Arabidopsis thaliana: one gene and its partners. The protein of the gene in region 4 interacts with the protein of the main gene of each other region in a pairwise test. Each region holds a gene or a part of one and is shown on either strand. Other genes may lie near its edges.

The links.
Region 1: the proteins of KRP2 (region 4) and CYCD6;1 interact in a two-hybrid assay, tested with the Arabidopsis thaliana proteins (one large-scale study listed by BioGRID).
Region 2: the proteins of KRP2 (region 4) and CYCD4;1 interact in a protein complementation assay, tested with the Arabidopsis thaliana proteins (one large-scale study listed by BioGRID).
Region 3: the proteins of KRP2 (region 4) and CYCD3;3 interact in a protein complementation assay, tested with the Arabidopsis thaliana proteins (one large-scale study listed by BioGRID).

Annotation. Positions count from the first base shown.
Region 1 is NC_003075.7:1,431,286-1,435,492, reverse strand, and holds CYCD6;1 (Cyclin D6;1), read left to right. Parts: upstream 1-1,631; 5' UTR 1,632-1,801; coding exon 1,802-2,002; intron 2,003-2,100; coding exon 2,101-2,184; intron 2,185-2,257; coding exon 2,258-2,353; intron 2,354-2,434; coding exon 2,435-2,642; intron 2,643-2,712; coding exon 2,713-2,843; exon of another isoform or gene 2,844-2,929; coding exon 2,930-3,118; 3' UTR 3,119-3,649; downstream 3,650-4,207. Other genes in the region: AT4G03260 (Outer arm dynein light chain 1 protein), read right to left, coding at 4,062-4,207.
Region 2 is NC_003076.8:26,140,956-26,145,558, reverse strand, and holds CYCD4;1 (CYCLIN D4;1), read left to right. Parts: upstream 1-1,565; 5' UTR 1,566-1,808; coding exon 1,809-2,069; intron 2,070-2,216; coding exon 2,217-2,246; intron 2,247-2,375; coding exon 2,376-2,462; intron 2,463-2,564; coding exon 2,565-2,663; intron 2,664-2,754; coding exon 2,755-2,959; coding exon of another isoform or gene 2,960-3,033; intron 3,034-3,095; coding exon 3,096-3,223; coding exon of another isoform or gene 3,224-3,259; exon of another isoform or gene 3,260-3,446; coding exon of another isoform or gene 3,447-3,449; exon of another isoform or gene 3,450-3,820; coding exon 3,821-3,967; 3' UTR 3,968-4,089; downstream 4,090-4,603. UniProt on the Arabidopsis thaliana protein: May activate cell cycle in the root apical meristem (RAM) and promote embryonic root (radicle) protrusion.
Region 3 is NC_003074.8:18,564,571-18,568,601, reverse strand, and holds CYCD3;3 (CYCLIN D3;3), read left to right. Parts: upstream 1-1,767; 5' UTR 1,768-1,932; coding exon 1,933-2,403; intron 2,404-2,481; coding exon 2,482-2,683; intron 2,684-2,769; coding exon 2,770-2,900; intron 2,901-2,998; coding exon 2,999-3,280; 3' UTR 3,281-3,468; downstream 3,469-4,031.
Region 4 is NC_003074.8:18,798,441-18,802,113, reverse strand, and holds KRP2 (KIP-related protein 2), read right to left. Parts: upstream 1,809-3,673; 5' UTR 1,607-1,808; coding exon 1,280-1,606; intron 1,204-1,279; coding exon 1,142-1,203; intron 1,058-1,141; coding exon 890-1,057; coding exon of another isoform or gene 886-889; exon of another isoform or gene 821-885; coding exon 748-820; 3' UTR 519-747; downstream 1-518. UniProt on the Arabidopsis thaliana protein: Binds and inhibits CYCD2-1/CDKA-1 complex kinase activity. Regulates cell division which is crucial for plant growth, development and morphogenesis. May regulate early lateral root initiation by blocking the G1/S phase transition.

The DNA of each region.
Region 1 (4,207 bases), on a different chromosome or scaffold from region 4:
ATTTAGGGTATATATTTCCACTATTTAAAAGTTTTTTGATTCAATTACTTCTTTTGCAATAAATATCTAATATTTTTTTATTCTTTAAAGTGGTTCAAAATCTGGCATTTGTTAAAAAGAAACAAAAAATTGTCACTCTTTCTCTATGAAACATATTACTATTATATTGTTTAAAAAACAAGAAACTATATTATTATCAACACTTTTCTGTTGTTTATTAGCTAATACTCCCAAAACATTTTTTTTGGACAAATACTAATACCCCCAAAAACTAATAAGCTGTTTTTTCTTACGTTACAAGCATATAAATTCTTATGTTTGTTAGGTCAGTCAATGTTTTCTTTCATTTCGTTCATATCTAGAGTTTCAAAGGCCTTTGCATTTCACATTTTCTACATAAAATTAATGTTTTCTTTTCCGTCTAAAAATAGACCAGTCAGGCTTTGGCAGTAAAAGATCAAAGTAAAAAAATAAAAACAAAAAGTTTGTTCAAATGGCGTTTTCACATGGCAGTTTGTTCATTGACTTCTCAATTTTTCTTTATTGACTTAAAAAAAATAATCTGAATATATATGTTGGGAATTTCAAAACCTAACAAAAGGTAAGTACAAAGACTTAAGGACAAGGAAAACCAAGCTGTCACAACCTAATTAGTAATTTAAAATGTGTGATACAATGATGATTAAAAACAAAACAAAGACTTAAAAAGATTTCTAAAGTTAATCAATGTTTGTAACTGTTTGGACGAGATTCCAAAGTGACGAATCTTTTGATACATAAAACTGTACATTACATCAGCTCTATTTATGAGTAAATGACAACTTTATGTGGTAAATAAAATGGTTTAACGATAGTATATGTTATTATCATATTTAATCTCCCCAGCCTTAGTATATTTTAAAGTTGGGTCTTACCAAATTCATGAAAGAACTTTAACACACACAAAATTCATAGAAGAACTTTTTTTTAGCATGATACTAAATTTACATGATCTAAAACTCAAACAAAATGTAATATCTATATATATTATGCTGGTTTTTTTTTCAATATGATTTTTTAATTGTTTGGTACTTGATATTAATACTAAAATGCAATTTTATTTATTTATTGAATTATTGACTTAATTTGTAATAAAATCTAATAAAAACATTACACGTATTAGTGTATTACATATTTTTTAAACAACTAAGTAATAATTTACGGTTATAAATTTTTAATACAAACGGCTCTGTTTATGAATATTTGTAGTTTAAGGTTTTTGCATACAAATTAAGAAAACATACAAATCTCATTTAATTTATCTATTTCTTATAAAAACACCATTAATTACAACTAATCCAACCAATAAAAAAATATGATGCAAAATATAATTGGTTAAAAACTATTAAATACATTTAATGTTTGCATAGAAAAGTGAAAACAACATTTATATTGAAAAAAATAAAAAATTATTGAACTACACTTAATTAAAAACAGAGGATTATAGAGAATTTAAGAGAGAATATTGGATTTTTTTTCCTTCTAATATTGCAAAAGAAGAATCTCTTGAAAAAGATTTGATTATCTTTGATAAAATCTTAATTCTTACTATCAATGAGAAAAAATCGAATAAAAAAATAACCAAAGTGGTAGTAATAAATAAATGTGGAAAATCTCTCAAAAGACCGAAAACCATCTCTCTCTATCTCACAATAAAGACAACTTCTCTCTTTTAATGTCTCTCTGTCCCTCTCTCTTCTTCTTCATCTTCTAACACCAATTCAAGAAAGAAGGAAGCTTAAGAAGAGTCTATCATCAATCAATGGAGTTTCATCTTGAACATCCTCTCTCACATTCTTCACTCCACAATAACTTCAACGACGACACAGACTATGAAACTTTACCACACTCTCTCTTCCTCGTCGAGTTTCAACACATGCCTTCTTCTCATTACTTCCATAGCCTCAAGTCCTCTGCTTTTCTTCTCTCTAATCGAAACCAAGCCATTTCTTCAATCACTCAGGTCTTTTTAACCAAAATTATTTTCTGGGTTTAGTTCTGAATACTGAATCGTTATCGAAAGACTTAACTTTATTTTAATTTGTAACTGAACAATCGCAGTATTCAAGAAAATTCGACGACCCATCTCTGACGTATCTTGCTGTGAATTATCTAGACAGGTTCTTGTCTAGCGAAGATATGCCGGTAAAAACAGAATCTTCCGACAGAATCTGTCCTTTGTTTCATCTGAGTTTTGACTAAATTGTTTTGTCAACAGCAGTCAAAGCCCTGGATTCTTAAGCTCATATCTCTCTCTTGTGTCTCTTTGTCTGCAAAAATGAGGAAACCAGACATGTCTGTTTCTGATCTTCCGGTAACTTAAAACTCATGAATCTTTATAATGTGAATGTGTTTTAAAGTGTTGATAAGTGTCTGAACATTGGATTTTTTTCAGGTGGAAGGTGAGTTTTTTGATGCTCAGATGATAGAGAGAATGGAGAATGTGATTCTAGGAGCTCTTAAATGGAGGATGCGCTCTGTTACTCCTTTCTCCTTTTTGGCCTTTTTCATTAGTCTCTTTGAGCTCAAAGAAGAAGATCCTTTACTACTAAAACATTCCCTCAAATCTCAAACCAGTGATCTTACTTTCAGTCTTCAACATGGTAAATACAGAATTGCTTTTCTTCAATCACATAATCACAATATGCTAAAATCTGTTTGAAAACGCTGCAGATATCAGTTTCCTCGAGTTTAAACCATCGGTGATTGCAGGCGCGGCACTTCTCTTTGCTTCTTTCGAGCTCTGTCCTCTACAGTTTCCATGTTTCAGTAACAGAATCAACCAATGCACATATGTAAATAAGGTAAAGAAGTCTTGAACAAGTAAACCATCTCAAATCGAGCTTTTTTTTCATCGCGGTACTAAGCGAGCATTAAACCGTGGTTGCAGGATGAGTTAATGGAGTGTTACAAAGCAATACAAGAGAGAGATATTATAGTTGGAGAAAACGAAGGAAGCACTGAAACAGCAGTAAATGTGCTTGATCAGCAATTCTCGAGTTGTGAAAGCGATAAGAGCATCACAATCACAGCTTCTTCTTCACCTAAGAGGAGGAAAACTAGTACTCGTCGTTACTAAGCTGAAAAAGGTGGTTAATGGTCAAACATAATCGTCAGATGAAATCAATCACTTAGCTACTTCAAAAACCACTTCTGGTCCCCTTATGAAAATGACACTTGCTTCCTTTCCCCTTATCTCCATCCATCTTCTTCTGCTTCAAAAATAAACCATTTCTCTCTTCCTGGAAGACAAGAGAGTGATGAATGATCAAAGACAAAGTCTCGGGTTCTGTTCCGTTGCTTGTTCCTTTGGACCACAACACAAAACTCAAAAAATTCAAAAGAAAAACAAATTACCAGTCTGTAGTATTTATCTATCTATCTACCTATCAATCATGTTCTGTATTTACAGTTTTGGCTTGTGGAGTTAAGTTGTTTCACTTGGGGGGAATAATCAATAAATATTGTTCTTGTGTAGTGTATATAACCCTATGGTTATGTTATTTATTAATGAACAAATGTGGTCACGAGATAACAATGAATTCAATTTTCAGGAATAAGATTTTGTCTTATGAGACTTCGTTATCCGACTTATATGGATCCAGTTGCCAGAATCTCTGTTGCAGGCAGGCAATATGATACTCTTTGGACCACTTTACACAGTCTTTAAATCATTCAATTGCTTTTGTTCTTACTGTAAATGAATCCCTTGCACTAACCCATATTAGGCCCACTAGCATCATAACGGCCCAAGATTGTGATATACAAGATCCATTCAAGCCCATTACTTAATGAAAACAATTGCAAGACTCAGACTGTGCTGAAAAGAATGTATACCATGGTTTCCAATTTCAGACATTATTGAGAAGCTATAAGAATCAAAGCTTCTGATGTATGTAATGCACAACAACAAAACACAAAGATGAAGAAGATGAATAAAGGGAAGAAAGTGTGTATCTATCACATCTTCATCGTTACCTCGCTAAGGAAATCGCAGGCAATGAAAGAGGGAGAGAGAGAGATCAGATAGGTCCGAGAGTTCCTTCACTTCGACTTCTTCGCATGGAGAGCTCAGTTCTCAGACTAGACAATCTATCACCAGTAGCAACGTGATAATTCTCGTAAGCAGCTGGAGATAGTTTGTGTCCCACAGGTGGAAGACGGCTGC
Region 2 (4,603 bases), on a different chromosome or scaffold from region 4:
CAAAAAGCTGTGTGTTTTGGTGCGCATCGGTGATTTCTAAAACTTAGTTGGATAAGAATATATTGTATGAACAGGAGTTTATCTTTACAATTTTTTAAGACTCCGACTGATAATGAAGAAACGAGAAAATATGAAAATTGTAAGAATAACAGATATAATATAGAATGAAATTTGATTTTTGAAAGTAAGATAATCGTTTTCAAGGAAAAATTTTCTTTATTATTGCAATGAATTTTGTGTAATTCATTTGCTTCCTACAAAATACGACTTTGTTAACTAAAATGACAATGAGCTAATGTTTGATGTTTCATTCCATAACATGACTATATAGTAGTTGAAAGTTGAAACCAGTGGCTCGATGACTATTTGCCATGTAACCTCAAGCAAGAAATTCTCGTGTGGTGTTTTCAAGCAACTCGTCGCGTAGCTAGCTTTATTTTCATGTGGTAGAAAATTACTAATTACTATTTATAAATAAAAAATACTAATCTCCTTACAAATATACTAATGTAGAATCTTTGGAGGTGATAGAGCACTAGTTATTGACCTCAACTTGCAAGAGAACAAAAATAAATACTTTTATAAATATTAAAAACCTTATAGTTAAATCTTATAAGTTGGGTAAAACAGAAGACAGTATATTTGGGTAAACTAAAACCATATTAAAGAAAGACCATAATGTGTAAAAAACAAAGACCATATTGTGTAACAAACAGAGACCATATTTTGAACTTAAATGAGTATATGACGTAGTTCTTATACAAATATACAGTCTGCTTTTTCATTCAAAGGTATATGCAATGATGATAGATATTGAAATTATTGTGTCTAAAAGTGACCCTAGAATCAAAAAACAGTGGTCAAAGATCTACCAGAGCAAATGGTTCAAATATCATTATAGATGGATTTTGAGTCAAATTTTACATTCAAAACTTCTTTTTATTTGTGGCATGAATTTACATTAGTTTTTTTGGGGTCATTTTTATTTTGTTCAATGTCGGATATTGAAAATAAAATATCATGATTCAGCGTATATTTCGATCATAATATCAAATTGCATTATTTAGTCAAACAATTTTGTTAAAAAATATTTCCTAAGATTTATAGAATTCAATACTGTTTTAAACTATTAGTCAAACTATATATATTTTACTGTTATTAAAACAAGGAATAAAATTATGAAATATCAAAAAATATGTAAAGACATATACTATGATTAAATCTTTCAACATTCAATATTTTACCATTGAATATACAAAAATGTTAACTGTTAACTATGCATACAAGACCGAAATACAAATTCCAAAAAACTTATGGCGCAAATCTGATACCGAACTACCAACGATATTCACTCGATTCATCATCTAAAAACTAAAATACAACGAATAAAACCAACTAACTTTTCAATTCTCACCTCAATTTCCTACCACATTTTCATAATTTTCCAACTTCTCACATTTGTTACCATGATAGTCAATTCACTTTCTAAAATCTTCAAATTTTATCTTACATTTTTCATCTTCTTCACCATTATATATAGCCTCTCTCCTTCTCACACAATCTCCATCTTACCCTAAAAACCACATTTCTTAACTTCCTCAATAAAAAAAAGAAAAGCTTCACCCTTTAATTTTACCCTCAACCCCAAAACAAAAACCCCTTCCTCCACGAGGGCATACAGAAATATCAAAGACCCAATCTTTCTTTCACTTCCCCAATCTCTAGATGACAATCTAACGATACAGTTCCTTTTAGATCGATTACCAAATACAAAGGATCAATTTTTCTTACATGAACACTCTGTTGTAATGGCAGAGGAGAATCTAGAACTGAGTCTTTTATGTACAGAGAGCAACGTTGATGATGAGGGCATGATTGTTGACGAAACTCCGATTGAAATTTCGATTCCTCAGATGGGTTTTTCTCAATCGGAGAGTGAGGAGATTATCATGGAGATGGTGGAGAAGGAGAAGCAGCATTTGCCAAGTGATGATTACATCAAGAGACTTAGAAGTGGAGATTTGGATTTGAATGTTGGAAGAAGAGATGCCCTCAATTGGATTTGGAAGGTCTGATTCTCTATTTGATTTTGATTTCTGGTTTTGAAATTTGGATGTTGATTGGTTTTGAATGATCTGTATAAGCTCAAATTGTGAAAAGCACAATCCTTTTGATGAATGATCTGAACATAAAGAGTGTGTTGCTATGTCTATTAGATCAGAGGCTTATGCAGAACAGATAGAGAGGTTTTGTCTTAAATCTGTAAATCTGATGCTCAATTTCCGATCTTTCACACTTCAATTGACAATAGATTCACTTCAGTCTCAGAGTTTTAGATCTCTAATTGATCTTTTCTTCTGTTCTGATTACAACAGGCTTGTGAAGTACACCAGTTTGGACCATTGTGTTTTTGCTTAGCAATGAACTACTTGGATCGATTCTTATCGGTTCATGATTTGCCTGTAAGTTCACATTGGTTAAACTAAAAGATTGATAATGTTTTTAGCCATTCATCATCAAAAAGTCTCATTTTTTCGCTTCTTGATTTGTGATTCTTCTTGTAGAGTGGCAAAGGTTGGATATTGCAGTTGTTGGCTGTGGCTTGTTTATCATTGGCAGCCAAAATTGAAGAAACTGAAGTTCCAATGTTGATAGATCTTCAGGTTCTCCTCTAAACTCGTTAAATTGTCGAGATGTTCTATTCGACCCGACAATGTCTTGAATCGATTGCGGTTTGATCACATTTCGGAACAGGTTGGAGATCCTCAGTTTGTGTTTGAGGCTAAATCAGTCCAAAGAATGGAGCTTTTGGTGTTGAACAAATTGAAATGGAGATTGAGAGCAATAACTCCATGCTCATACATAAGATATTTCCTGAGAAAGATGAGTAAATGTGATCAAGAACCATCCAACACATTGATATCTAGATCATTACAAGTGATAGCCAGCACAACCAAAGGTGAAAAAAAAAGTCTTTCCTTTATGTTTTATTTTCTTGACCACTTTTGTTTTTGTGCTTTTTTGGGTTTTGTTGTTTTTTTCACTTTTGCTTTTTATGATTTTGGATTAAAATGGTGGTTGTGTCGAGTGAGCAGGTATTGACTTTTTGGAGTTTAGACCTTCTGAAGTTGCTGCTGCTGTGGCACTTTCTGTTTCTGGAGAATTGCAGAGAGTACACTTTGACAACTCTTCCTTCTCTCCTCTTTTCTCACTACTTCAAAAGGTAAAAAACAATCCACCAAACATCTCAAACTCATAAATCTATTGTTTTTTAATACCAAACACACACACACATATAAAGCAGCCTTTGGTGGTTCAATTTCAAGGAAATGCCAGTTGTGGAGAAGTTTGAACTCATTAAAGATGACACATTTATGTGTATATATGTGTGTGCACTAACTTATTCATTGCATACACATAATATGTGTAATTATAAATCCAAAAAGTAAAAAAAAAAAAAAAAAAAAAAAGAGAAACCGGTTAATGGGTCTGAATCCTTTGACTTCCAAAACTAGTGGAGAGTAGACCAAAGACCACTTTAAATTATATTATTCTCTAGCTATGTGTCTTGTGACTCTCTCTGTCACACACACACATTCACTGCACAGCCTCTAGTCACATCTAAAACCAATCTGCCCCCACAAAAACATGTTTGATTCTGATTTGATCTTGCAATCCAAAACATCAGCCTGGTTTCCATTAGTTGTTTTTCTACACCAGAAAAAGCTGAAGAGATCTTTGTGTGTTGTGTTTGTGTTTGTGTTCAAGAGACAAAAACAAAAGTGTCAAGCTTTAAACTTTGTGGTTCCTTTTATTGCAGGAGAGAGTGAAGAAGATAGGGGAAATGATAGAGAGTGATGGCTCAGACTTATGTTCACAAACACCCAATGGGGTTTTAGAAGTATCGGCTTGTTGTTTCAGCTTTAAGACCCATGATTCTTCTTCTTCTTATACACATCTTTCTTAAAAAAAAAACTGTTTTTTTCTTACATTATTATAATCAGTATGATGTCTGATGAGAGGTTGAAAAAAGAGGACAATAAATCAAAGCAAAAATTTTTAAATAAATAAAAGTGTATTAATTTCAATATTTGATTTGTTTATAGCTTTGGTAATACTGAACAAATAAAATTATAAGAATTTTTTGTTGGCAGGAAATAGCAAAAAAGAGAAAGAAAATAAAACAAAGGAAAAACAGAGCTTTTTTTAATTGGTTCCCGCCAAATAAATATAGCGGGAAAAAACCGTATCGGTTCTGTTGAGCGTTAGAGTTGACCTTTTTTAATTCAAACGGTGCCGTTGTGAGATAAAGCGCGCATCGCACTAATGGGCTTAGAATTGGGCCCACGAACAGAAGTCTTTGACTTAAAGTTGACGTAAAGAGACCAAAGCTAGGTTGTGCTTTATGGAGCTTTTGCGTTTTATACCTTTTATCAACAAAACTCCAAAATCCCAATATTTTATTGAAAACTTTTTAACAAAAAATAAATAAAATGATTGGACTCCAGGTCCACTAAACCTCTAGGATCTGTAACTATGAAGAAAATGGGCCAATGCTATATTCATTAAATTTAATCATTTGGGTCTACCATTGTCGCATGGC
Region 3 (4,031 bases), 230 kb from region 4:
ATGGTATCGTAACAATGTATAAAATCGCAAAATTACCAATCTAATGGAACATATTGTAGACCTATTTGGCCATTACACATCAACAAAAAAAACATAATAGAACAAATGGAATATTTTTTAAAAAGACTATGAACAGACAACATTTTAAAGCGATATGATAAGGAATTTCTTTGTTTTTCTTTTTTATCTTTTTAAAAGATAGTATGAAATGTGTAAGAAATGAGAAGTCGCTATTAAACTTTGTACAAATCTCAGACTCTCCCGCTTGTTACCAATGGCCTCTTCCTCTCGTGATTAACTTTTCCCCATTCCTTATTTATTTGTCTTTTGCTTTTTCATTTTTTCAATTTTTTTTTACCACACATTGCTTTCTTTCACAATCGATAAAGATCATCAATATATATACTATGTGTTAAAAAAAAGTAACAATTGTTGCTTTGTTAACCGCGTCTAGGTCGATAGGAACGCAGTAAACGTGACAACAGGATCATTCACTCTGCTTATAATAACACTTTTACTACTATAGATGTAAAATATGAAATTATCTTTCAGTTTACTATTGAGTACTAAATATTTAAACAGAAGCTTAATTTATTATACATTATGTTTTGTACTACTAACTATAATGTTTGTTCCACAACTATTATAAATAGACTCAGTTATATGTATAAGTTGCATTTATGTATCTTGAACGTTAAAGTTTGGTACAACTTTTGTTACGAGTACATCGAATACATTTACATTTTAATCGGCTTTTTTGGGTCCTCAGTCTTTAGATTTTTTAGCATATAAAGCAGTGAGAATTAAACTTGAAATGCTCATCAAGATCAAGCTATTATATTTAAAAATTAACTTTATAGGTTACATAAAGAAAAATTAAGTAACGTAGTTTACTAATAAAGCGCAAGCGTTTTAACAGAACGAGGTCCTTTTTTCCTAGTTAATTATGTTTTTGTTTTTTCTAATGTTTATGTCAGCTCGTTGACCATATAAAGCTTCCCATTCGTCCACGTGGATTTTCCTCTGACATATATGACCCCACGGGTGATTTTATATGATTATATATATCAATTTGAATCTTCTTTTTCCGTATATCATAAATTAATTCACCAAAAAAAAAAGTGAAAAATTTGCTACTAATAAATTACGATTAATAAATCTTTAAATCGAATAAAAACACAATGACAGTGACTCTACACATTACGATATTTTCAGAGTTTATGTAAAATTATGTTGTATTAACCAAAATCAAAGTACTAATGACGAAAAAAAAAAAAAAAAAAAAATCTTTTCACTTGTAATCATCGATGCTTGAAACCGAAAGGTGACAAATATAATTAATGGTCAACGCATTTATCCACCACTGAAACTTCCACCACCACCTCATAAGCGCGTGAATCACACGCTCTAACAGAGAGTATCTTTACTCGCATCCAACGAACAGGGATCAAAAGCGTGTAACTACACATTCAATAAGCACGTGAGTATAAGCTTTTTTGTAAATAGTACGTATGTTTTTAAAACTAAAGATTTTAATTAATTCATAGTTATGATTTCAATTTATAATTAATTTATGGAGATAGGAAATTAATTACAAAAGAAAAGATTTTTCCATTTCTGTGAATAAAACAAAGAAGAAGTACGGTTTCATTAATTTTCTCGCGCGCCAAACATCCGAATATTAAAAGACAAAATAAAAGCAGAGAGAGAAAATAAAAATAAAATTAAAAAAAAAACATAAAATCTTTTAATAAAAAAAAAGAAAAAAAAAAGAGGACAAGCGTGAAATAAAACCCTTCACTTTCTTTGGCATTTGTCTTCACTTCTTTTATCTCTCTTTCTATCTCACACAGAGTGAAGAATCCAGAGAGTCTCTAATGGCAGAATGAACAAAGGAATTAGCAATCATCTTCTTCTCGGAAGAGAAAAATCATGGCTTTAGAAGAGGAGGAAGAGAGTCAAAACGCACCGTTTTGTGTTCTTGATGGTCTTTTCTGTGAGGAAGAGAGTGAGTTTCACGAACAAGTAGATTTGTGCGACGAGAGTGTTGAAAAGTTTCCTTTTTTAAATCTGGGTTTGTCTGATCATGATATGTTGTGGGATGATGATGAGTTATCAACTTTGATTTCGAAACAAGAACCGTGTCTTTATGACGAAATCTTAGATGATGAGTTTCTGGTTTTGTGTCGTGAAAAGGCTCTTGATTGGATTTTTAAAGTGAAATCTCATTATGGGTTTAATTCATTGACGGCTCTTTTAGCTGTTAATTACTTCGATAGGTTTATTACAAGCAGGAAGTTTCAGACAGATAAGCCATGGATGTCTCAGCTTACTGCTTTGGCTTGTCTGTCTTTAGCTGCTAAGGTTGAAGAGATCCGTGTTCCTTTTCTCTTAGATTTTCAAGTAAGTTTCTCACTTTTTCTCAGATTCAATTTTGTGAAATTGCAGATTTTTGAGACTTGTGTTTGGTCTTTTTGTAAGGTGGAAGAAGCAAGATATGTCTTTGAAGCTAAGACTATACAGAGAATGGAGCTTCTTGTTCTGTCTACTCTTGACTGGAGGATGCATCCTGTGACTCCAATCTCGTTTTTCGATCACATTATTCGACGATACAGCTTTAAATCTCATCATCAATTGGAGTTCTTGAGTAGATGTGAATCTTTATTACTCTCCATTATTCCTGGTAATGTTTACCATTAGGTTTAGATCTCTTGAATCTACTTGATTTTGTTGTGGATGCTAAATTTTCTGTTCTTGGTTTCTTTTCAGATTCGAGATTTCTGAGTTTTAGTCCTTCTGTGTTAGCCACTGCAATAATGGTCTCTGTTATTAGAGATTTGAAGATGTGTGACGAAGCTGTATACCAATCTCAGCTCATGACTCTACTCAAAGTTGATTCGGTATGTGGTTACGGTGTCTTTGATCAATAAATGCCAATGTGATTAGTGTAAGGTTTAAGGATCTAGAACTGATTTTATCATCATTATACTTGAAACAGGAGAAGGTAAATAAATGCTATGAGTTAGTGTTAGACCACAGTCCAAGCAAGAAAAGGATGATGAATTGGATGCAACAACCCGCTAGTCCGATCGGTGTGTTTGATGCGTCATTCAGTTCTGATAGCTCGAATGAGTCGTGGGTTGTGTCTGCTTCTGCTTCAGTGTCGTCTTCACCATCTTCAGAGCCTTTGCTCAAGAGGAGAAGAGTGCAAGAGCAGCAGATGAGGCTATCTTCAATAAACCGAATGTTTTTCGATGTGCTTAGTAGTAGTCCTCGCTAATAATGTCAACAACCCATCAAAATGTGTCGGTTTAGTTACCTAAAATCTGTTTCCATGTTTTACATATTATCGGCTATATGGTTCTCGGTTCTTGTGTTTATGGACGGTTGCAAATGGTGTACGTTTCGTTATTTGATATTCTAAAAACAAAGTTCTTTTACATTAAAAGTTTCCGCTGGATCTTACCTTTTTCATGGCTTGATGATGATCTAATTTCGTCTCACAACCTCTGCATTTTGCAAGTAGAAAGATAACAGTCAAAGATTATACACAAACATTACCATTACACTATTGGCATTGGTCTAAAACATCACATACATGATTGTTTAGTACTTAGTACAGGTATGTGGAAATTTGTCCTTTGAAGTTTGAATTGAAGAGACAACGATTGAGTTAGTTGGATGACCAATAGTGTTGGACAACTAGAGAGTTTGTTAGCTACTCCTCCAAAGTTTTAAGTTTTATTTTTAAAAAATGTTCTAATAAATTTTGTTCTATTTTTGGGAGGTTTGATTTGAGAGGAAATGCAGAGAGACCAACACTTGGGTTGGTCCAAGTACTTGTGTTCAATTCAGTTGTGGTGAAAAGCAAAACAGGTTGGGATATACACATAACATTACGTACACATATCACTTTATCTACTTCTTGCCATTGCTATGTCATGTCATAACATTAAATAAATATACCTTCCATGAAGAGTCTTGTTATCACACAGGACCAAATAGCATTGAAGAGATTCAACAGAAAAAAG
Region 4 (3,673 bases):
TCTTTTTTTTGGTTGTTGCTAATCGAGTATAAATTATAGGCGTTAGGTACACCAACCATATCTAATATCCATGTTATATTAGATAGATAAATTAGGAAAATAAAATAATACAACTCAAAATAGTTACTTTGTTGAAAGAAATTGAGAGGGAAAAACTGGAAGTGTATATTTAAGCTATTTTATTTTTAAAAAATATATAATTTCAAATAGCTAAATTTGTAAAATGCAAGGAGATAGTACAATATTTTAGTTTAATAACTTGTAAAGCACAAACAAGTTCGTAGTTAATCACTAGAGTAGCACCTACAATCCAATCCAAGTGAGAATAAAATAGTAACTTTTTTACTGAAAAAGCCTGATCAATAAACAGTTATATTCCTTTACCACGTCAGCCGTGACCCTTTTTTGTTCTGCTCTACACTCTCTTTTCATTGTTAAAAAAAAAAAATCAAATACTGTATGATAATTGATACATAGAAATAATAGAAGCTATTTAGTTTTCAGTAACAATTATAATTACTCTTAGAGTTATAAACTTATAGTTTATTAATCGAGAAAAACACGAATCTAATTAATTACCTCAAGGAAGTACAAACAAAAGTTGAATTACATGTTATTGATTATTCGAGAGAAAGATATCTACATTTGGATTTTGTTAAAAGAAAAATCAAAGCAAAGATTATTACAGAAGAGAAATAATAAGTACTTTGGTGAAAACAATGATCATCATTATCATCATCGTCTTCTTCATGGATTCAATTTAACCCACTCGTATCTTCCTCCACCAAGTGGCTCATCTTTCTCGAAATCGAAGTTATACCTAACAACAAATTCATTATCAGTTTCAAAAATTCGATTAAAAGATTTGAATCAAAAAAAAAAAACTTACTTCATAGAACATTCCAACAACTTATTCCGAAGATCTTTCTCCGCCACCTGAAAAAAGTCTTCTAACTCAGCTTCCTTCACCGTCTCATGGAGACTCTTCCTTAACCTGCGGCGAGACTCTACATCTTCAACAGCCACCGAAGAAGAATCCATGTTCATCGATTCCTCACTATACACAAAAAAATCAAAGACATTTTATAGAAATGTTTGTTACTGATTCAAAATTTTAATATCTGTAACAAATTAAACAAACCTCTTATTCAAATCATCGTAAATCCACGACGTTTCTGTTTCACGATCGTCACCGTTATTTTCCTGGAAAAACGAATTCAAAAATTTCAAAATCTGTAAATCAAAATTCAGTTTCGATAAATAATGCTTTCGTTGTCACCTCAAGATCTACAAATTCGATTCTCCGTTTCGATTTCTCTTCCGATGTAGAACAACACGAAACCGACGAATCTTCTTCTTCGATTTGACACTGTTCTTCAACCGGAGGAGAATCTCGCCGTCGTACTATAACAACACTCGTCTCCGACGCTCCTGCTGAATTTCTCGCCACAATTCCACCGCGATTCGTCGCCTGTACACACGGAGACAGAATTATCCTAGATTCCACTAAATCCACTTCCTCCTCCATCTTCCTTCGTTTCACCGTCGTCGTCGTAACTCCATTCTCTTCAACCACATCTCGTTCTCTTCTCCTAACCGCCGCCATAATCTCCTACGACGTCACCTTCCAGATCTCTATCTCTCTCTAAAATCACTCGTTATGTGTGCGTGTTTGTGTTTCTCTCTCTTTCTCTCTACTAGAGAGTCTCTAGCTCGCGTACCATTTGGGTTATTCTGTTATAAGATGGTGACGATCTTCGTTTTGATCGTAATTTGTTAACGGCCACGATTAACTCTTGTCATTTTCATATAAAGCCTCGTGTGAAGTAGGAATAGTAATTCTTTTAATATGTAACGGAGAATTTGACGGCGCCGTTAAAAATCGAGTATTTTATACCTTACACGATTGATACGTGTCTTTTATTCGTTACGATTACATTAATAGTTTCAAAGTTTACAAAATCAGTGCAATTAGTGCATATCTAGTTACTTTAGAATGATAAATTTTTTTGAATTCAAATTTTTTTGAATTAATATGTTGTTTTTATTTATTTTAATATAATTGGCTGGCTTTTCCAATAAATCAACGAGAATGAAAATAATTATTGTGGATATTAAGATAAAACTGTTTATTTTTTGTTATAATAATTACGAATTTATATTATAAAGATAACAATAATACCATCAAATTATCATATTAATTCACAGACGATCAAATAGATAAAAAAATGTGTGTAAAGCAATATAATGTATATGCAACATGGAATTTGACAACGATGTTATAGATCGAGTATCTTATACCTTTACACGATCAACATATGTCTTTTATTCGATGTGATTACATTAACGGTGTCAACGTTTACAGAATCAGTGCATATCTACGACTACGTTAACGGTGTCAACGTTTACAGAATCAGTGCATAATTTTTTTTTTAGAATGGTAAATAGAATTTGAATTCAATTTTTTAATTAATATGTTTTCTGTTTTTTAAAATAATTGGTTGGTGTTTCCAATGAAATAGAATGAGAATAATTATCGTGGATTTTAAAAATAAATTTAGATTTGATAATTTTTTGTTGTAATAATTGCGAATTTAGATTATAAAGACAATAAAAATCTTAGATTTATAGAGAAAAATGACAATATCATCCAATCATCTTAAATAGATTAAAAAAAATGTGTGTAAAGCAATGTAATGTTGTCACGTTACATTATTAGTGATAATATGTGTTTCTGTGTTAAGATCTTATCAGTATTTGACAATGTAGTTGTGTATAGTTTTTCAATGCATAGTCGTAATATTTCAATTTTGTGAGGGGGTCGACCGTACACATATCAAAATAAGGTATAAAATACATTAAGTCTAAAATACATTAAGTCTAGGGCCATGACGTATTTAACGGTTAGGTGATAATGAAATCAATGCTGCGACATGCTGTTTTGTTGTGGCAATACAATACGTACACAAACATATTCACATGCTTAAATATTACTACTAATTCACACAGTGAATTAAATACTACTAGTTCATATCGCATACATTTCGTTGGTAAAAATAAAAGAATTTTTTTCCATCATCATTTTCGTCTTATATTGAATTTTTTCTTTTTTTTTAATGCCGTCGTTCTGTATCGATTCTTGAGTTCACACAAGACAGTGTCTGCGCATATCCATCATACCATTCAATTTAATAATGTGCCCACGAGCTGCATACTCAATCATTACTAAACTGTCTCTCTCTTTTTTACACTCACTATAACAATGTGTAAGTATATATACATACTTATGAGATATTCAAAATAAAATAGTGAGCTAAACATATAATGTAGTTTAAAAATTCGCATAATATATGTTGTTGACTTCAAAAGAACAAAGATTATCATAACAATTACTACGAAAATAAAATTATCATATATCTATGTATACATCCGTAGTTCTTAATTATGAAAACTTAAACGCTAGTACCAACAAATGAATCCCTAAGTTTTAAAATCTCTCAATGAATACATATTGATATTCGTTTTGAAGGATAATTTTCGATTTAAATTGTGATAGTATTTATCGTAAAACATTACTTTTAGATATGTCCCAGTTTTTATCCAAATATACATAAAGACTGTGCCTATCATGAAAAGTGAAATTGCAACACATCTAAATATATCTTTCTAGATG